4 linked regions of the Rattus norvegicus genome follow. The protein of the gene in region 4 interacts with the protein of the main gene of each other region in a pairwise test. Links are inferred from orthologs where the notes say so. Each region holds a gene or a part of one and is shown on either strand. Other genes may lie near its edges.

Region 1 (4,841 bases), on a different chromosome or scaffold from region 4:
TCTGGGTACCTTGAACTTGGTAGGGTGGTTGTGTGGCACGCTGTCTCTGTCCAGGCAGCTACAGCAGCTCCCCATGGTGTCAGAGCAGCCTATCAGCCCTGGGGAAAGACAAGAGATGAACAGGTCACCAGCAGCCCTGCCAAGCTGCTCTGCTCTGTGCAGAATACTGCACTGTGAGCACGTCCTCTGTCCAACAGGCTGTGTGACACAGACACACCCTGAGGGGATTCTGTCTCAATCCATGGCCAAACACACTTGGGATAAACATTAATTCAAGTTAGAATGAGTTAAGGATTCCCGTAGGTGGGGGCAGGATGGTAAGCTTCTCAGAGGTTAACGTTCAATCTGGCCCCTGACAAGTACACAGGATTTTGACCCGTGAAGTGATATGGATGGAGTCTTGAGCAGGATAGATGTGAGGTGTTGGGAGTGGCTGCCTCAGTTGTGTGCTGGCCTGAGGTCTTCATCTGGATTCAGCAAACACAGGGTCACGTGGGCATCCCAGACACCATCTTGTCCCTCTCCTTTCCTCAGTTTTCACCTTACCCATTCCGCTCCAAACTTGTTCTCCCTTTCTTCCCTTGCCCCCACCCCAATATCCACCAGAAGTTACTATTTCCGACGTTCTCTTCAAGTGAGCTGTTGCTACATTGTGGTCTTAAGACATACTTCATGACTGGACACTGGGACTCACAGAGACTCTTCTGTTTCCCAGGCATTGGGAGCAAAGGTGCACACTGTATTTCTTCACTGAGAAAAACCCAAAATGCTGCAGCCCAGCATGTAGCTGTTCAGCGTAGATTCTTTACTTGGAGCCGACTCCCAACACTCTAAAGCTAAAACAACAAAAGACTGCACTTTCTTCCCAGAGGCCAGAAGCAGAGGTAAGAGACCTTAGCTAGCTTTTCCCTCAAGACACTGGTAATCGAATGACATGTCACAACCGACAGCTTTCTGCCTTAATAAGGAGAGGACAGCACTCAGGCCTTTGTGATCCAAGGGAATGAGAGATACGTGGAGAGATCCCAAATGGAGGTTTTGTGGTTGTTTTGGCTTTAACGCTGGAGATCTAACCTAGTGCTTCATACTTGCTAGGTAAGGGCTCTAAGGCTTCTAGGCCCCCGCCTGAAGTTTTAAGAGGTTCACTTTGCTGCAAAAAATAAAGATAGTAAGTAAGTAAATAAGGCAGTGGCTTATCCAGGAATGTCTGCTGTGTCTATAGAACCCCGAGCCACACAGAGGCCTATTCCCTACATTCCTCCCACATCGAGAAACTCTACAATGCCAGTACCTAAACCACAGGTCTTACCTCACCCAGGCCATCGGGGTGCTGACCGTGGGAGGGGCATGGGAAAGGGTCCCACTTTATTCCCCTTGTTCTTGGTGGGGTGTCATGGCAGAGTGTCTGCAGAGACTTCACCTGGATCCCTGGGGGTCACACCTGGGGCTCACCTAGCACAGGAGACAGAGACCACACATTAATGGAGACCTATTCTCAACCTCAGCTCTTCAGGAAATAGACTTGTTATCAGTGTAGCCCACCTGAACTTATCTGGTCTAGGCTCTAGTGGGTCAGAAGATTGTGGATAAAAAGGCCACAGATTCTCAGCCCTGAAAGGAACTTAGGACCAAAGACAATGAGTTCTGAGGAGTCTGGTACCTTCAGTTCACAGCCCTCAATGGAGCGCCCTCTGAATCCCGGTATATAAGCCTCTCAGAACATCACCTAGTTGTGAGGTGGTGACCCATAATTTTAATTCCAACACTCAGAGGGCAGAGGCAGAAGATGTCTGAGTTCAAGGCTAGCCTGGTCCACAGAGCCAAGGCTACACAGAAAACACTGTCCCAACTTCCCGTCCCCCACCCCCCCAAAAAAATCCCCAACCAAAACCAAAACCAAAACCCAAATACATCACCTGACCATTGCACAGAATTTTATCCCTATAAAAAGCTTTCTTTCTCAGAAGAACAATATAACAGTATGATTTGGGAAACCAACATTTTAGAATGTTTTGTTGTTATGATATATCGGGTGCGGGGCGGAGGGGGGGGTGTCATTCTCCCTCCACTATCTCTATTCGTGCCCCTGGGGGTTGTTGTTGTTTTGGGTTTTTTTTTTTTTTTTTTGAGGAAACATCTATCAACTATGGGAGTTCTAGTTGAGGTAATTTCTAGAAGTAGTTATAAATAAAGCACTTCACATTTGAAAGCGGGACAGACTTTCTGTTCCTAGGGTCAGAAAGGTCCAATTATAACAAGAGGCAAAATTTCAGATTATCTGAGGCCTACCTAGGTAGATGAATCAACAAACCAGGACTCTGAAGAAAACCCTTGAAATCCCACCTTCCCTTTCCAGGAAAACAGTACTTCCCGGGGTCCCCCTCACAACTCTTAGGTAAAAGAACCCCTCTCTTGGTCTGGCTTATTCCTTGGAAGGAGGAAGCAGGCTGAAGGAAGTGTGCGCAGGCTAAAGGTAGGTAGTGGGGGAAAAAAAAAAAAACCACCAAACATGGGGGTTTGTTTAAACTATCAACAGGGAGTTGGGAAGGGGTGTGAGGTCAAGAGCTACTGGATGCAGGATGGGAGAGGGATTACATCTTTCTGACAGCCCACTTGTTCTTTAAAATATTAAACACATTATCGGATGGTCCATTGAGGGGGATTATATTGGGTGGGATGGGGGAGGTTATGTCTGAGGTAGGTAGGGTTGGGTACAGGCACCAGATGGAGGTATGAGATCTGAAAATGTATACGAAGCCTTGTGAGAAGGTGGGCTGCAAGAAGCATGCAAAGGCTGGGTTTCAGGACCGCAGAAGCCTTTGGGCCATTGAGCAGAGAAGGAGGTGACTGTGGGCGTTTCAGAGGATTGGGAGCGTGAGGGGGTTCTGCGGGATCCCGAAGACCCGAAGGTGCAACTAGGGGGAGGGAAGAGGGTGGGGTCTGGGAAGCGAAAGGCAGAACTGGTAACAGGAGGTTTTTCTAGATACCCAGACGGAACGCGGAGGTTGCGGCCGCGCTCCGAGCCTGGATCCCCGCCCCCAGCCCCCGGTCCGCCGCTAGCCTGTCTGCTTAGGGCTTTCTAGGGTAGGAACGGAGACTGCGGCGCGGCACGACCGGGCCTCGGTAGAGCCGCCTGGTCCCCGCCCCGCTGCGCCCCGACTCACATCGCCCCGCGGCCCGGGCGGCGCCGGGCCCCGCTCCCGGGTCCCGCTGCAGCAGCCGCCGCCCGCCCGCAGCTAAGGCCTCCCAGCCCCGCCCCGCTCCGCGCCCGCGGGGTCGGAGGTCGCTGGCTGCACCAACGAGACGCTGCGAGCGGACCGACCCCAGCCGGGGCAACCGGCGCGCAGCCTAGAAGGTCCCTTTGGAGGACTTTGCAGTCCGGGACAGAGAGCATGCGCAGACGCCAGAGGGCGCTCGGGGCCGGTGACTAGGACTCCTGAGGGGCGTGGCCTGTCTGGAGAAGGGGCGCGGGGCGGGATAGGGCGGAGACAGAGGTAGGAGCAATCTCTCAAGCCGAAGAGAATCACGAAAGATAGCAAAGCGGATCTGAGGAGTCTGGACCAGACTCGGAATCCAGGAGGGGAAGTGGTGAGGGACCGACCACTGGGGACAAAGGGGAGGGCTGTAAAGGCCCGCAGAGGGGGCGGGGCTTAAGCCGGGGGTGGGCCGAGAGACAGTTCGCAGCTTGGCGGTACACGGGTGCCTGTGCCCTTCCTGTCCTGAGACCCACGAGCGCTTTCCTTGGTCTGAAGCACCTGCCTGGTTGGGACCGCTTGGGGGCGTGGCCGACGGCAGGTCTCTGCTGTACAGCGTTGTCGCTTAGCCACGCAGAGACCCTTTCGGAATCTTGATTCCCACTCGTAAACCTGCAGCTAGACAGAGACCCCCAAGAGAACTCGGTAAGCACACGTTGAGCCTCTGCCTTGCAGGTGGACCGGCCAAGTTCTAGGAAGAATTGGGGGCTATGCCTAGAGGCCACTTTGTGAAAGCCTACACTCCCCTCCCCCTTTTCCTCTGATTCGGGGACACCTTCCCTTGTCTACTGCTCTCCAGCCTCTGGGGCCTCTCATCCTTCCACGAACCGGTGTTGTTTGGGGAAGGTCGACCCCCCCGAATCTAGTTGCACCTGAGGGGCTGGGGAGCCAGTGTTTGGCCTGTTCTTACCTGAAAGGAGAGAGGAAGGGAACTATGGGAGGAAACCAGAACGTTAGTAAGATGGGGTCTAATGGTAACGGGAGGTGAATTAGAGTAGGGGACAGGAAGGATGTTGGGTAGAGGTGTGTTTTCTGATACTTGTTGCTGGACAGTTCCATGCAAACCAGAACTAATCTGGAAGAGAGTCCCAAGTCTTCTGGGGCCCCAGAACCTACCCCACACACAACCTTGTTGCATGGAGCTGAACCAGTGCTAAGGGGTGGGACTGTTTCTAGCCCTGAATGTGGATAGTTCATTCTGGCCACCTTCCACAGGAAACCTGGTGTGAGGGACAGAACAGGAAGGAAGCAGGTGGGTGTGGAGCGGGGAATAGGGAAGGGTGGCGCTGGGTATAGGAAGGGGCACTGAGGGAGTGCTTGGAGTTGGAAGGTACTCTAAACTGAGCCTGCTGGCCATCCCCAAAGCCCAGTGATTTACTGGCAGTCCTCCTAAGCCCTGCTGTCAGACTCCATCCCAGTTCGAGAATCGTCTCAGACACCGAATAAACATATAAGTTTGCCTTGGCTACCCCCACCCCACACAGCCCAACCCCTTCACCTAGAATCCGTGTACATCCTTGTTCTCCCCGGCTACTGTGTTTCTTCTTGTTCACTAGCCTGGGACCTCAGTGAGAGCAGGGCCCCTCT
Region 2 (4,639 bases), on a different chromosome or scaffold from region 4:
CACATAAGGTGGCCCAAAAGAGCTGTAACTCCAGCACCAGGTGACTCAACTCTCTTCTGGCTTTTATAGACATCCATGGGAGCATGCATGTAAGTGCGCGCGCGCGCGCGCGCACGCACACACACACACACACACACACACACAAATAGAAATAAATCTTTTAAAAACCTTACAAATATAAGTTGAAGATTTACACATATACTTTCAAAACGATCTATCTTAGTATATGATTATGTCTTGTCTCATGTGTATACGCCCACACACAGACATACTCACATACATAATTAGAATAAATCATTAAAAAAAAAATAACGTCTGTTGGAAATAATTTACCTCCTGCTATTCTCGCTAACGCTTTTGTTCTGGTCCGATGTTGTTCTTTTCTCTCCCAAGATGAAGGGTGGCCCCGCTTTTAGAGCCAATTTCTCAGTGAGCTGGATCAGCGCATCACAATTTACCATTATAATGCACATCAGGAGGAGCATTCCTTACGGTCTCCTCATTACCGTCACCTCACTGGAAAAATTGGGACGCCTTCACTGACTTCTTAGTTTGGTTAAAAAGAGTTTATAAAATTCTTTTACATCCATTCATTGGTTAAATTAACTGATTAAATTAAATTAAATTTAATTAAAAACTCATGGGGCTGGAGAGATGGCTCAGTGGTTAAGAGCACTGGCTGCTCTTCCAGAGATTTCTGGGTTCAATTCCCAGCAACCACATGTTGGCTCACAACCATCTGCAATGGAATCTGATGCCCTCTTCTGGTGTGTCTGAAGAGAGCGACAGTGTAGTCACATAAAAATAAATAAATCTTAAAAAAATTCATAAAAGAACTTAACAGTGGGCTCAGAGGGAATCTCTAAGACAATTTTATTAGCGTTTCAGAGAAAACCGCTGACTTCTGACGGTTTCTAGCTGGCCAAGGCCCCAACAAGGGAATCTGACGTCTTTGCTATGAAGCTGACAAGGTCAAACATGGGGTGGCCTATGAGGGTGAGGGGAGGCGAAGACCTGGGCTGGCTTTGGTGCTCTAGGGGTAACAGCTTGCGAAGTCAAGTTGCACCATCTCTGCCAGAGCTGAAAGGCTTCAATTTCCTCTCTGTGACTCTTCACCCAAGAAAGTCTTCATGCGGGGCGGCATGAGCCTGGGCGGAAACGCCGTAATTCCTGGCCAATTCCTGTCCCTGGAACTTACTGAATGGGCCACTTGGGCAGCGGTACGGGGGAGGGGGTCCTGCTCTTTGACTGAGGTCTCCCCAGGACGGCGAGGCTCCATGGAAACCCAGAGCTCTCTCAGAAAAGGATATCTCTAATGGGTGACACCCTGTCCCGTCCGTAAATCTCGGTTTACCCAATGAACAACGGGAGTGACTTGATGGTATCTGGAGCCTCTCTGGGTCCTGCTCTGTTTCCAGGCTGGGGAGTGGGTTCAGGCTCCCAGCTGACTGAATTCACAGTTCTCGTGGTCCTGGACTTTTGGGAAATCATCCAAATATACAGAGAATATCTCTCTTGTGCCTGTTCGGTCTGAGGGGGACACGTGGCTCCCCGCACCTGCTTCTACTTGGGTACAATTGTGCTTTGAGTGCAGAGCTGGGGGGCTTCCAGGAGACAGGAAGCTGCTCAGAAGCCCCAGAGCTAGGAGTGGGTGAGGAAGGCAGTGTGCGTCACGGAGCTCGTGGCCCGGACTGTGGTTGGTAGACTTAGAGGCCCTAAGGCTTGGAGCCAGTGGTGGTCAGCACAGCCCTCCGTGGTCTGCAGAGCCTGCTATTGCTTTACGTGAGTGTCTGTCCTCTTTTTCTCTATCCTGGGTTCCAATCTGAGAAGTCATCCTAGGTTCCTATTGAGAGCTTTGTCCAGGTGGATATGCTAGGATTCCTCCTCTGGGTGTTTGAAACGAGCTTCTTCTATATGGCTCACGGTAGGCTGGTCAGGAATGGCTGGTGTGAGCTGTGTGTCTGGCTATGTCCTGGTTTGGGGTGCCTGGCCGTGAGCACTTTGGCTGGTGGTGGTCTGGCTTAGATGGCTGTGGGCTCTGAGTATTCATGTCCTGCAGGTAAAGCAATCACTGTCTTCCCACCAACCCCACACCCATTGATTCTCACCTTCTGGTCTGCCATGGTGCAAATCAGATAGCAGTCCCTGGCAGATTCAGTTCACGACCCCGACATACTGCCAATAGGTCTTCCTCTGTGGTAGGCTAAGTGGGAAGAAAATATAGTCTGGGAGTGCCTGGCCATCTTTCTGTGGCTTCAGTTCCATGTAGAAGTACTTCCTGGCTGTCCCTCAGTCCAAGGCCCCGCAGATGGGGATGCCTGGGGAAGGGGGTGGCTGTATGGACAAGAAGGGGTGAGGTGATCATAAGCAGGGCTCTGACTGCACAGACTGATTCCCAGGTCATCCTTGGCTTGCGGGTGAGCTTAGGAAGTGGCTGCTGGGGCAGGGTATAGAGTGGGAGACAGGACAGTAGGTGACCATGAGGAGAGAGAGGCCTTTGTCCTTCCTTGATTACTACATCCTCCTGGTTCCAGAATTCTGTCCACAGTCTCCTCCACTTTCTCAGCCCTGCATTGACTCTGCTCTGACCAGGGAGGAAGCCATTTAGGGATAAACCGGGACTTCTCCACTCTTCTGGGCTTTTCGTTTTCTGCTTTTTCATCAACCCCGCCCCCTGGTGCTCTCTCTGGGGGGTATGAGAGCCACTCGGGGGTACACTACTTGGGGGGTGCTGCTCTGCTGTTCATCTCCAAACCCCTAGGCAGCCTAGGGGTTCGGTGGGAGCATCTCCGGTGTCTGAAGCTATTCGCCATGGAGACTTCTGGAGCTCCTTCTGCTTCTATGTGGGTAGGTGCCAGGGCTCATCTGTCCCTGGTGTGTGATGTGCCTCCCCTGGTCTCACATATCACAGTTGTGGACATTGAGCACCTCCCCCCCACTTTTTTTTGTCCGATTTTGTCCACTTGTCTGGACTCTTGGGTAAGTTCTGTGAAGATGAGTGTCCGGGCCACACCAGCTGGCAGGATATGGTTTCTCTGCCCAGCACGAGTCTGGTAAAGGAGCAGCTTGGAAAGAAGGAAGGGGCCAGGTCCATAGACATTTGGGGCGCAGTGGCTGTGAGAGGCCTGGGGATGGGTTGTGAGAAATCTGGGCTGAAGTAGATAGAAAGTGCCATTAACATGGTCAGGTGGGCATGGGGAGTGTCTGTGGCTGTGTGAACTTGTGGAGCTCCTCCCCAACAGGCTCCCTGGTGCCCTGCTTCTACCAGAAGGGCATGGGGCCCGCGCATGTTCCCAAGAGAACCGTGCTCTTCCAGCGGGAAAGGACTGGTCTGACCTACCGGGTGCCTGCGCTGCTCTGCGTGCCTCCCAGGCCTACCCTGCTGGCCTTCGCAGAACAGCGACTTAGCCCTGATGACTCCCATGCCCACCGCCTGGTGCTACGGAGGGGCACGCTGACCAGGGGCTCAGTGCGGGTGAGTGCTAGGTGCTAGGTGCAGAGGAAGCAGCCCAGATCGATCGATATCCCTGGAGACTGAGGTCAGGCTCCAGATGTCTTGACCAGCTGCTTCTCTTCCCTTAGTGGGGCGTTCTGAGTGTACTGGAAACTGCAGTACTGGAGGAGCACAGGTCTATGAATCCTTGCCCCGTGCTGGATGAGCACTCGGGTACCATCTTCCTCTTCTTCATTGCTGTGCGGGGTCACACACCGGAGGCCGTGCAAATCGCCACTGGCAAGAACGCTGCTCGCCTCTGCTGTGTGACCAGCTGTGACGCTGGCCTTACCTGGGGCAGCGTGCGGGATCTCACTGAGGAAGCCATTGGTGCTGCATTGCAGGGTAGGTGACATCTGATGTGTGGGATGGGATGGGTGGGGGGCGGTAGGGGGTCGAGGGGTAGACTGGGTAGGGGCCGGATAGGGGAAAATGGGCGTGGACTCTAGTGGTCTTGGGCTTGTCTCTAACATAGGTTCACCAAGCACTTGGTGAACCATTCTGCCTTTCTTATCCCCAGCTTCCAGCCCCGCCTCCTCTGCGAGCAATGACCTAACATTGTTGGCAGGACTGTCTGGTATTTCCCAAGCACCAGGCTAATAGGTGTTGGCCAGCTTCTTCATACCGCCTGCTGGCAGGGCTAGCAACTTAAGCCCACCAGAGGCTCTCCTGGTCTTGGTCTCTGATGAGGGCTAAATTTATCTTTTATTTCCAAACCCATTTTTTTTTTTTTGCTTCCTCTTCATCCAGCTCTGGTTTCTAGGATTCAGTCTCTTTTTCCACCCCTGCAGTCCCTACTCCCCAGGAACTGTCTACTGCTCTCCCCTATCACCCTGACCCCTGCTGGTTGGCAGTGCCCCTAAGGGTACAGGACTGGGCACGTGAGTGCTACAAAGAGGAATATGGCAGGTTCTGGGAGGGAAACGGGGAAACAGGACTGTCTTAGTTAAAGTTTCTATTACCATGACCAAAAAGCAGGTTGGGGGAGGAAAAGGTTTATTTGGCTTACACTTCCAGATCATAATCCCTCATTGGATGGCATTGGGACCGGAACTCAAGCAGGGCTTGAACCTAGAGGCAGGAGCTGATGCAGAGGCCATGGAGGATGCTGCTTATTGGCTTGCTTTTCATGATTTCCTCAGCCTG
Region 3 (5,003 bases), on a different chromosome or scaffold from region 4:
GAGGAGGGAGGGGCGGCTGTCACCTGGAGCAGTCCAGACCCGGGGGCAACCTGCACAAGGGCAGGGACTTGCCAGACAGGGCTGTTTAAGTAGCTTTATCTGGCTGGGGTGGAGGGGGTGGGGGGCATGAGGGAGTGTGAGGAGATTGTGGGGAGATGAAGCTGCAAGAAGCCAGATTAAAAGGCCTCCGGAGCGCACGTTGGCAGCCGCCAAGAGCTGCCGTTGGACGCTCTCCCGTTTCATCTGTCTGTACACCTCCCAGCAGCGAGCGAACGCGAGGCTGGGTTCAGGAGGCGCTCGATAAATTCTCATTGACAGGAACACTCAGAAGCGTCACCTCCCAGGCTGTGGCCTGTGTGCCTGGGGGCGGGGGGAGAAAGGCCAGCGTGGGAAGTGAAGCCAGCACAGTACTGGCGGGCTGCACTTGGCCAGGCCGAGGAGATCTGAGACTCCATGGGGGCAGAAATTAAAGTGAGTCGGCAGGTCTGCCGCACAGCCACCAGGCTGAAATGTCACCTCAGACGAGGTTCTCTGCAGGTTAAACATGCTCTCTCGACCCGAGATCCCAGGAGAGGGAGGGAGAGGGAAAGACGTGGGCTAGGCCTCATAGAGGGATTGTGGCTGTTGCCACAACACGGGTAATTAACGTGCTCCCCCCACCAGAAGGCTCCTATCCAACCCCACCAGGCATTGGAGTAACCCAGGCTGGGCATTCCAAGGCTGCAGATGGGGCCAGGAAAAACCGGCCTTGCTGGCTCACTCCACAAGCCCCTGCGGGTTCCTGGGGGCAAGGGGGAAAAGTGGCAACTGGCTATTATTACACAGTGAGTCTCTAGGAAGGGGAGGGGGGGAACCAGCAGGGAGCCAAGGCTAGACCTCCTCCACGGCAGGGAAATAGACCACACCTGCCTGAAGGGTCAAGGCCAGCTGGGGACTCAGCGGGCTGGGGCTGATGGAGGGCCTGGAGGAGGTGCAGGCCCCTGGTCCACCACAAAGAGGCGCAGACCTCTTCTTCCCCCTTCCTCTGGCTAGAGGTGCAGAGTCCTGAGGTGGCTGCCTTTCTGCAAACCACACAGCCCTTTGAGATCTGCAGCTTCCAACTTCCTCCAGAGAGACAGGGAAGTTACTCACAGCCAGAGGCCTGCCTGCCTGCCAGCTCTGCCAAGAGCAACAGAGGCTTCCAAAGGGTCAAGCTTTTTCGGAACCTTCCTGACATTCCGACCCCATTAAAAACAGAATTGCCCCAGGTCATCCCCAAGGTTAGGGGGCCTGACAAGGCTTGGCTCCTAGTAATTTTAAAATGTTAAGTTTAAAGGAACTATATATATACACCCCCTTTCAACCCTAACCGGTCAGGATCCTAATAACTGCCCCCAACAGGTCAGGGCCTGATCTGGCCTCCTAGCCTTCCTGGTTCAGAACCTGCCCTAAGGCAGGCAGAACAGAGCCCAAAGCTAGGACAGGCCTCCCACCTCCTTTCCGAAGGCGGGGCTGACCCCGGGTCTCTGGCTGGCTGCTCACCAGCGCCTCCCCCCTCCCCCAGCCTCCTCCGCTCCTGCTGCCAGACCAGGCGACAAAAGCCAACCTTGTACCAAGCCATCAAGGCACCCCCCAGGAGGTGGTCAGGCGTGACCCGGTGCCTGTGAGAAGTGTTGAGCAAGCTGCTTCTGCACAGCAGAACCCGATCGGGTGAGCCTGCCAGCAACCCTGTTCCGGTCCACCCGGTGGGGCGTGACACCCAGCACAGCAGATGACACACGCTGCCAGTCGGAGCCTGTGCCCCGGCCCCCCTCACCTGTGGCGGGGCGACTGAGCGGCTGAGTCAGACACAGCCTGCGCCTCAGGTTCCCCGCCTGCGGGTGGGGGCGGCTGTAAACACAGGCTGAGCAACACTTAAGTAGCCAAGCTTAAGTAACACGGACGCCCAGGGAAGGCTGCTCGCCAGGGGGGGCCCTGTCTTCCTAGGGAAGAGGGGGTAAAACAGTCTCAGGCAAGAGACTGAGACACTGCCAAGCGCCCAGCCAAGACCTCCTGCCTTTGTCCCCTTTGCTGGAAATCGGCTTAGGCCCGATGCTCCCTCCTAGAGTGAGGCTGCGCCTTTTGTTCCGGCCCCCTTTACAAAAGGATCTTGTATTTTGCCCCCCCTCCATTTGGTGGTCCCGCTTTTTGTTTTCAAACCCCAACCTGTGTGGGCCCCAACCGCGACAGATAAGACACTGCAGGGGTCTAGCAAGGGTTTAGTGTGCTTTAAACGCATGGAGACAAAGGCTGGTTTGCAAGCACCAAACCGACCCAACTCGAGCTGGCACCCCCACCACGAGTGGCAGGTGCGCGGGGGCGCCCCTCGCTCGCTCCGGGCTCCGATACCCAGATCTGCGGCCCCTAGCCTGCTCCTCGCAGTCCTAAGCGGCCCCCTCCACCTCCCTGCGCTCGGAGAGGCGGGCAGCGGGGAGGGCAGCCCAGCTCCCGCTCCGCCTCCAAGAAGGGAATTTAATTAGCCTGCCGGAGAGGCGGCGGGCGACGAGGTGTCTCTGGTGCTGCAATATAATTGAATCGGCTCCACTCGGGCGGGCCACTCGCCGTCAGCGCGGCCGCGGGGGGCGGGGAGGCGCATCCAGGCGGAGCGGGAAGGGCCGGGCGGGGTCGCGGAGGCCCCCTGAACTGCCATCCCAGGCAAGGCGTCCCCCACACCGATCCAACCACCTGCCTGGGCACCCCCGCCCCATCCAAAGTTTTGCTTCAACCCCGAGCCCCGGAGCCGCCCCCGCACACTTCCCCGCGCACTTCCGCGGTCGCAGAGCTCGCTGCGCCCAGCGCGCGCGCGCAGCCGCGAGTGTGGCTTCAGGTCGGCCGCGCGCCCCGCGCTTCTCGTACCTCGCACCCGCGGGACCTGGCACCGGCCGTTGGCGCCCCTCCCGAGCCCACAAACTTGGGTAGGGGAAGAGCGAGGGAACCCCCGTCACCCCCCTACCCGCGCGCTCACCTTTCATGCCAGGGCCCCGCTGCTCCGCCGCGCCTGACACATGCCGGAGCCACCGTCGCCCGGGTTTGTCTGAACTGCTTATCTCACCCGGGGCTGTGCGGCGGCGGCTCGGCCGCTCGGGGAGGTGGAGCTTCCGGGGCCTGGGCCAAGAAACACCTGCTGCTGTCGCCGCTGAGGACACACCCAAGCGCAACGCCGCCCACTCCCCGGCCCCGGCTCGCTCCCGGCGCCCTGACCTCAGCCGGCGGGAGGTGTCGGGTTTCAGCCGCAAGCGCACGCGCGCGCACCGACGGACCGCCCGGAGCACCCAGCGCGGTCACAGCCCGCCGGGTAGGTGCCGCCCCCGCGCTCCTGGCGACCCGGGCTGGACAGTCGAGGGGGACCTCTTCGAGGCTTCGCGGGCCACTCATCTCCCAAGAGTAGAGAGGAGTGGCTTACAACACTCCTCTCCGCCTGCCATATCTGAGCCTCAAAGCCGCCTCCCCAAGCGCCTGGAACAGTGCCTGGCACCTGGCCACCCACTAAGAGAGGGGAGGGATAAACCCAGCGCTCAGGAGGACTTTCCTTGTGCTGAGTGGAGGGGACTACACAATATAGGCCGCTGGCCTCCCTCGCTCTCCAAGATGCCTGATCTATTACCGCAACTTTAAAGGATTTAATGTTAAGAGCTGGGGCCACGAGCCTCTGACCCAAAGTTTTGCAAAGTCTCCATCTTTAAGAAATTTTTGTGAAGGCCACACGGGGGGGGGGGGGGTCGAGTTCTTTAAAGAGCCCATGTTCGAGAAGCTTAAGTCCACGGAGGCGCCGCTGCGCCAGGGGCATCATTAAGTAGCTGGGGTTGCGGTCAGAGGCGAGGCCGCTGCCGCCGCCTCCAGAAACTGGCACAACCCACCGCGCCACCGGCCCCAGCGCACCGCCTTCCCATTCTTGATGCCCCCACCCACCCTACCTCACCCAGGCACTTCACCGGGATGACTCAGGGAGCGTCCTGAAATTCTTCGGCACCCACAGGCGGCGCGGAGAGGGACTGGGCCCCAGCGTCCCCGCCCCCAACGCGACCGGTCCCCAGGACGTCCCCTTCCCACCACCCGGGAGGCGCGGGGTTATAGGACAAGCCCGGCTGGGTCCCTCGGCCGGACCAAGCGCGCAAGGAGCAGCCAGAGAGATGGCAAGGTCGTCGCGAGGTCCCGGGGTCTCCCCCGCCCGCCCTCTCTACACTGCTCTCTAATGATCCTCCGCTTTCATACTTTCGAGCCTGGAGGCCACTGCACCTCCCCGGGGGGAGCACCTCAGCGCCGCTGCGGGTTTCAACTTTCCACGGCGGTGCCAGCCCCAAACCTGCCCCGGGACATGCCCGCGCAGTGCTCGGCAGGCGCGCGCTGCCTCCCCCGCCTTCCTCCCTCCCGCGCCAGCCGGGACAGCGCAGGGAGCGAGCGCGGGCGCCAGCACCCCCCGTCCATCTGTTCTCGATGACGCCGGCGGCGGGCAGCGCTCGGGGCCCGCGCCAGCAGAAGCCGCCGATGCCGCGGGGCGGGGGCGCACGCCGGGCCAGTCTTGCACAAGCCCCTGGCCGACCACAAACGACAAGGGAAACGGGCGGGCAAGGGCAGGCTGAGTTGCTGCTCCTACCTGCGGCCACCGGGTCCCTGGCCCTACACACGTTCCAAGCGGCCTTTGGTCCACGCGTTAGTTCGCGTCGCCCCCGGCAGCGTGGCCTATGCAAGTTTACGACGCTCGCGACCTCCGGGATGCACCCGGCTCCCCGGGAGTGGGGGCGGGGGGAGGCGCCTTCACCCGCTGGGAATCGTACGCAGGAGGGGGAGGGGGGACTGGGAGGTGTCAGGAGAAAGAAACAACTGGCCTCGAGCCGTAAAAACAAAATGAAAAACCTCCCGGGCTAGTCCAACCCCTTTCCCACCTGGATTACTGGCTGGGGGAGGGGAGGGGACAACATGTAAATGAGCAGCTCGCACCTGGCTGCGCTGCCTGCGGGCTAGGTTCCCCAGGTAACAACACCCGG
Region 4 (4,834 bases):
GTGAGGCTTTTACAAATTACCTCAACTCTAAAATGCCTTCTAGCTGGGCACACATCTGGTTTCTCAGCTCTCGGAAGCCGAGGCAGGAAGACTGTAACTTCAGGACCAGCCTAGGCTACGTAGTGAGACTCGGTCTCAAAGGAAGGAAAGAAGGAAGGAGGGAGAAAGGGAAGGAGAGGTGGAGGAAAAGAGGGGAGGAAGGAGGGAAAGAGGGAAGGAGGGAAGGAGGGAAGGAAGGAAGGTGGCCACCCACTTAGACAGCACGAGCTGTTCCTCCTCTCCTTCAGCTCGTGTCCACATTTAACTCATTCCTTAATCTGGGGTTGTAGCTCAGTTGGTAAAGTGTTTGTCCGGCATGCAAGAGCCCTGGGTTCCATTCCTAACACCACAAAGAACAGATCTGGTGGCCCACACCTGGAATCCCCATACCCAAGGTCTTCCTTAGCTATAAATACCTAAGAGTTTCAGGCCAGCCTGGGACACACGACGTATTATCTCAAAACGACAAACAGGCAATCCAAGAAACAAAACGCAAAGTGTTCTTTTGGTTGATGGATCAATCGATCTTCGGAAACCTGTGCCTTGGGCTGGCTTCCAACCCGCTTCCGTAGCCCATGTTCTCCTCCAGACAGGCCTGAGCCACCATACTTAGTTCATTGTACCTCAGCTTGAATCTCCAGCTTCCAGGCCCACCCAGCTGAGTACCTGGCCCTCTCTTGGATAGAAACCTGCCTGTCAAATCTTGACACTCCCAATTTGGCAACACCCTCTCACAGCCCAACCGCTCACCACATAGCAGCTCTCACAATACGCCCGCCTCTCCACGGCATAGAAGTGCTGGCCTCGGAGCTGGGCCCGACAGGTAGAACACACGAAGCAACCAGTATGGAAGACACGGTCCAGGGCCACAACCCCAGCTCCATCACCAACCACATCGTCGCCACAGCCACCACACCGACCTGGGGACAGAGGGGAACAAGATCAGTCTCCACAGACCCAGGACACCGGATCCACTGTCCCCTCCCCGTCCCATCCTACCCAGCGGGTCAGCTCACCAAAGTACTCCCCACTGGGCGGGTGGTTCATGTCATGCACCAACTTCTTGGTCAGTCTCTCCAGCTCCTCCTCTGGAGGCTGGCTCAAGGGGCCCTACAGGGAGAAACAGGGCTTTGCAGTGCTGCTTCGACCTCACACACCGTAAGTAACCCACAAGCTCAGGAACCCTGAAATTTCCTCTGAGAATATCTCCCAGGCTGACAAGGGAAGGAAGCCCCTTCCCTTTGGACATCGTAATCCTTGACCTCTAAGTACCCTAAAACCACAACTGACTTATATTTATTTTTAAGAGCGTGTCTCATATGGCCTAGGCTGGCCTTGGACTCATTATGTAGCCAAATATCTTAATTTACTGATCCTCCTGCCTCTACCTCCCCCATGCTTTGTTTATACAGTGCTGGGTCTAGAACCTTGGGATTCCTACATAATAAAAAAGGACTCTACCGGGGTTGGGGATTTAGCTCAGTGGTAGAGCGCTTGCCTAGCAAACGCAAGGCCCTGGGTTTGGTCCCCAGCTCCGAAAAAAAGAAAAAAAAAAAAAAAAAAAAAAAAAAGGACTCTACCAACTCTCTACCAACTGAACTGCGTCTCCTAAAAACGGTATCTTAATCCCTCAGCCTCCACACCACCTAACCAACGGCCAGTTACCTACAATGACCAGGTACCACCGTGCCCACACCCCCTGGCTTACCTGAGGCTCATGCCCACCTCTTCTTCCTCCTCCTGCAGGGTTATGAACTCCAGCAGCTCCCTCCTTAACCCCTGGTCCTGGCTCTCGGTGGCTCCTATAGCCAGCTCCCCAGACTTCACCACGACCTGTCAGAGGAAAGTGGGGGCCTGGAAGAGGTCCAGAGGCCTGCGAAGCCCCCCGCCTGGGCAGTCCACAGCCTCTCACGGGTTGAGCCACCTTCACTTGAACAGGGAAAGCAGGACCAGCTGGAGTGCTCGCGGTAGCATAAGAGGCTGGAGTAGGTCCACCATAGGGAGATGCTGGGAGCATCGGGGCTGGAACAGCACCTCCGCTGGGTTTCAGGGAGCCTCCACGGTAAGCATGGGGTGGAGGAGCCTCAAAAGCCTGGGAAGACAAACAATGCACAAACAGTAAGGCCAGATCCAAGATCCATGCGCGCCAGGTGGAATCTCGGGAGCCATGACTTTTGTCAAGTTCCCATGGGTTAGGCCTAACAAGAAGGAAGTTCATGATTCCTTGAACCAGTTATTTATTAGTTGCAAAGAGGGTGGGCGGAGAGTGAAGAGGGCGGACTGAGGCTGAGAATCTACAAAAGAGAATCGGCTGACACAGGAGAGACAGAACACAGGAGATCACCTGTCTGTCTGGTCGCCTAGGTGCATGACTGCGACTCCCGTCCAGATCAGCCAGCATGCTGGTGAGCGAATCTATCTCAGCGTCCAGACTTCCAGGGTGGATGACTCCCCGGTCTGGAGGGAGCCCCTGAGACAGAGCCAAAACAGGAAGAACAAATACCGATCACAACCCCTACCTAGCCTTCTCTCACCTTGATCCTACCCTCACCTCCAATTCTCACCTGCAGGCGCTGGGCTGCTCCATGGGATCCCACCCAAGTAGGCCCCCGATCTTCCGGTACCCCCGGAGGCTGATAACATTGTTCAGGTGGGAGGGGGCAAAAGTTGACCCTGGGGTGAGGCTGGAGCGCTAAAGGGGGAGACGGGAGGTGAGAGCGGAGAAGGGTACCCTGGTTAAAGCCGCCTTTCTCAGGCAGCTCTCCTTCACGTACCTGGGAGTCTGGGGATGGACCAAGAGTTAGGGAAACTTGCACAAGAGCAAGGGACTCTGGCTTGGGGAAGGGACAGCAGGAAGCAGATAGGCAAGGAAGAAAAGGTTAAGGAAAGTGGCCAATGGCTCTTCTGCCACTCCCGGGTGTGGGAAAGGGGAACACTTACTTGCTCCATGGGCCGTTGGCGGACCCAGGGTTCCTCTGGGCAGCGCTCTCCCCTGAGGGACTCTGGAGGGCTCTGGCTGCTTCGGGGGAAGCCAGGTGGGCCCGGACATGGTCTGGAATAGGGTTGCTCCACTCCAGACAGAGGTCAGGACCCCCACAAGCCCAGCGGCCGGGCCCTTGAGCCCCTTCCCTCCCTTTCGGCCCCACGCCCCGTTTGGGACTCCAGCAAAGAAACTTTTTCTGGCTTTTTTTTTCTTCCCTTCCTCCCCAATTTTGGAGAGGACCACGCCCCCTGACGTCACCACATTCCTGGTGAGGGTCACGTGGTCCCCCAAGCCTTATTCTACGATTCTTCCTTTCTCTGGCCCCCTCCTGTTAAGTGAGGACCGCCCTCCTCCGGAGCCAAGCCTAGGGTGGGCTGCAGGCCTCTCCGAGAGGCTCTGGTCCAGCAATTCTCTCAGATCCCTGCCCCAGTCCTGCACGTGGCAGCCTCTTGGCCGGGACTCTGAAAGTCTCCACCCCCTCATAGATCTCTCCCTTCCCACCCGGCTCCCTCTCATCTACCCACCAGCAGTGCTCCACCAGCCCATAGTGTTTTGGTCTTTTATTTATGGTCAGTAGTTAGAAAAATAAAACAAAACACAAACATCACCACCCAAGGAAGTCGGGGAGAGGGAGGTGGTGCGTCTGTGGCCAGGATGGGGACACTGAGGTAGCCTAGAGTCACAGAAGAGACCAGCCCCTCTGGTCAAGGCACCAGTGAAGGAAGCGTAGGCAGACCAGGAACAGGGCCGCAATGTCCTCCCCTACAATGGGGCAGCCACCTAGAATTAGTGTACTATGTCCATTCGCCACCCAAAGGAGACCAGGGTCCCCTTAAAACATCATCAAAAGGGCAGGGCCCATTGGGGGCGGGGGAGGGCGTCCCTTGTTGAGAATGGGCCTGGGCCCTCTCTATCTATCCAACACTGTATGCACAGGCATCAGAGATCAGTACAGGTAACCGGAGTGACACCATGAATAAGAAGGGTGGGACCCAGATCACGGCTTAGGGTCTCCAGCAGTGCCAGGTATCTAGGGTAGCGGGCAGGATCAGCAGGAGGTCGAGGAAGATACAGGAAGGTAAGGGCTGTGGTGGGTCCCTCCTCTCCATCCCTTCCTTCTGGTCCCCCAGGGCCTCCTCCTGTGCCTCGTCCCTGCTGGGCACGCACCAGGGCATTGGCACTGCAAGCTAGAGCCTCTGCCTCTTCGTCTCCTCGACCACCATTCACAAAGTCCCCTTCCTCCTCCTCAGGCTCCCCAGCCTCAGCCCCTTCACCCCACACCACCTCTTGCACCTCTGCCCGGATCCTGAGTTGACTCAACAGGGCCCGGAGCCTTCCCTCTGCTGCCCCAGGAGCCTCTCTGGGCCCCAAGCACAGAAAGATCCGGAGCCGGGCACTGTGCCAGGCAGGCACCATGCTTAAGATGGTAGCCATCTGCAACAGAAAAAGGCCACAGACGTCCACGTATCCAGGTCCACCCCGGGGCCTCAACAGATTCAAGGGCCATACGTCCACATGATGTAGCTGAGCGCTGCTACCGGACCCCCGGCTTAGCCGCTCCGGGGGCAAAGCCCCACAAGCTCGGGCGAGAACCACATTCTTGTTCATCTTGAGAGCATCTGCCACGGTGGCCACGTAGTCCTGGGGACTGAGAGCCCTGGGGCTCCCAGGAGCCCGAGGTGGAGGGAACAGCGTGCTCAGGGCTGGCGACCCGCCCTCTCTGGTGCCCTCTGCAGGCTCAGAGAAGGCTGGGTCTGTTAGAAAATGGTCCTGGGGTGGGGCGTCATCATAAAAACCGAGCACCAACGTGTT

What was found.
Region 1: the proteins of Trip6 (region 4) and Frs3 interact in binary tests that used the Homo sapiens proteins (3 or more experiments, as listed by UniProt). The two-hybrid records come from large-scale screens. The link is inferred for Rattus norvegicus from reciprocal best matches to the Homo sapiens genes TRIP6 and FRS3.
Region 2: the proteins of Trip6 (region 4) and Neu4 interact in binary tests that used the Homo sapiens proteins (3 or more experiments, as listed by UniProt). The two-hybrid records come from large-scale screens. The link is inferred for Rattus norvegicus from reciprocal best matches to the Homo sapiens genes TRIP6 and NEU4.
Region 3: the proteins of Trip6 (region 4) and Gse1 interact in binary tests that used the Homo sapiens proteins (3 or more experiments, as listed by UniProt). The link is inferred for Rattus norvegicus from reciprocal best matches to the Homo sapiens genes TRIP6 and GSE1.

Annotation. Positions count from the first base shown.
Region 1 is NC_086027.1:20,791,565-20,796,405, forward strand, and holds the start of Frs3 (fibroblast growth factor receptor substrate 3), read right to left. Parts: upstream 3,259-4,841; 5' UTR 3,165-3,258; intron 3,151-3,164; exon of another isoform or gene 1,543-3,150; intron 1,453-1,542; 5' UTR 1,310-1,452; intron 99-1,309; 5' UTR 76-98; coding exon 10-75; intron 1-9. UniProt on the Homo sapiens protein: Adapter protein that links FGF and NGF receptors to downstream signaling pathways. Involved in the activation of MAP kinases. Down-regulates ERK2 signaling by interfering with the phosphorylation and nuclear translocation of ERK2.
Region 2 is NC_086027.1:101,842,619-101,847,257, forward strand, and holds the start of Neu4 (sialidase-4), read left to right. Parts: upstream 1-1,642; 5' UTR 1,643-1,782; exon of another isoform or gene 1,783-3,193; coding exon of another isoform or gene 3,194-3,274; coding exon 3,275-3,475; intron 3,476-3,582; coding exon 3,583-3,838; intron 3,839-4,639. UniProt on the Homo sapiens protein: Exo-alpha-sialidase that catalyzes the hydrolytic cleavage of the terminal sialic acid (N-acetylneuraminic acid, Neu5Ac) of a glycan moiety in the catabolism of glycolipids, glycoproteins and oligosacharides.
Region 3 is NC_086037.1:65,492,711-65,497,713, reverse strand, and holds the start of Gse1 (Gse1 coiled-coil protein), read right to left. Parts: upstream 3,055-5,003; 5' UTR 2,991-3,054; coding exon 2,984-2,990; intron 1-2,983.
Region 4 is NC_086030.1:25,021,362-25,026,195, reverse strand, and holds the start of Trip6 (thyroid receptor-interacting protein 6), read right to left. Parts: upstream 3,238-4,834; 5' UTR 3,089-3,237; coding exon 2,980-3,088; intron 2,732-2,979; coding exon 2,604-2,731; intron 2,510-2,603; coding exon 2,384-2,509; intron 2,132-2,383; coding exon 1,748-2,131; intron 1,150-1,747; coding exon 1,056-1,149; intron 960-1,055; coding exon 790-959; intron 1-789. Other genes in the region: Slc12a9 (solute carrier family 12 member 9), read right to left, coding at 3,962-4,834. UniProt on the Homo sapiens protein: Relays signals from the cell surface to the nucleus to weaken adherens junction and promote actin cytoskeleton reorganization and cell invasiveness. Involved in lysophosphatidic acid-induced cell adhesion and migration.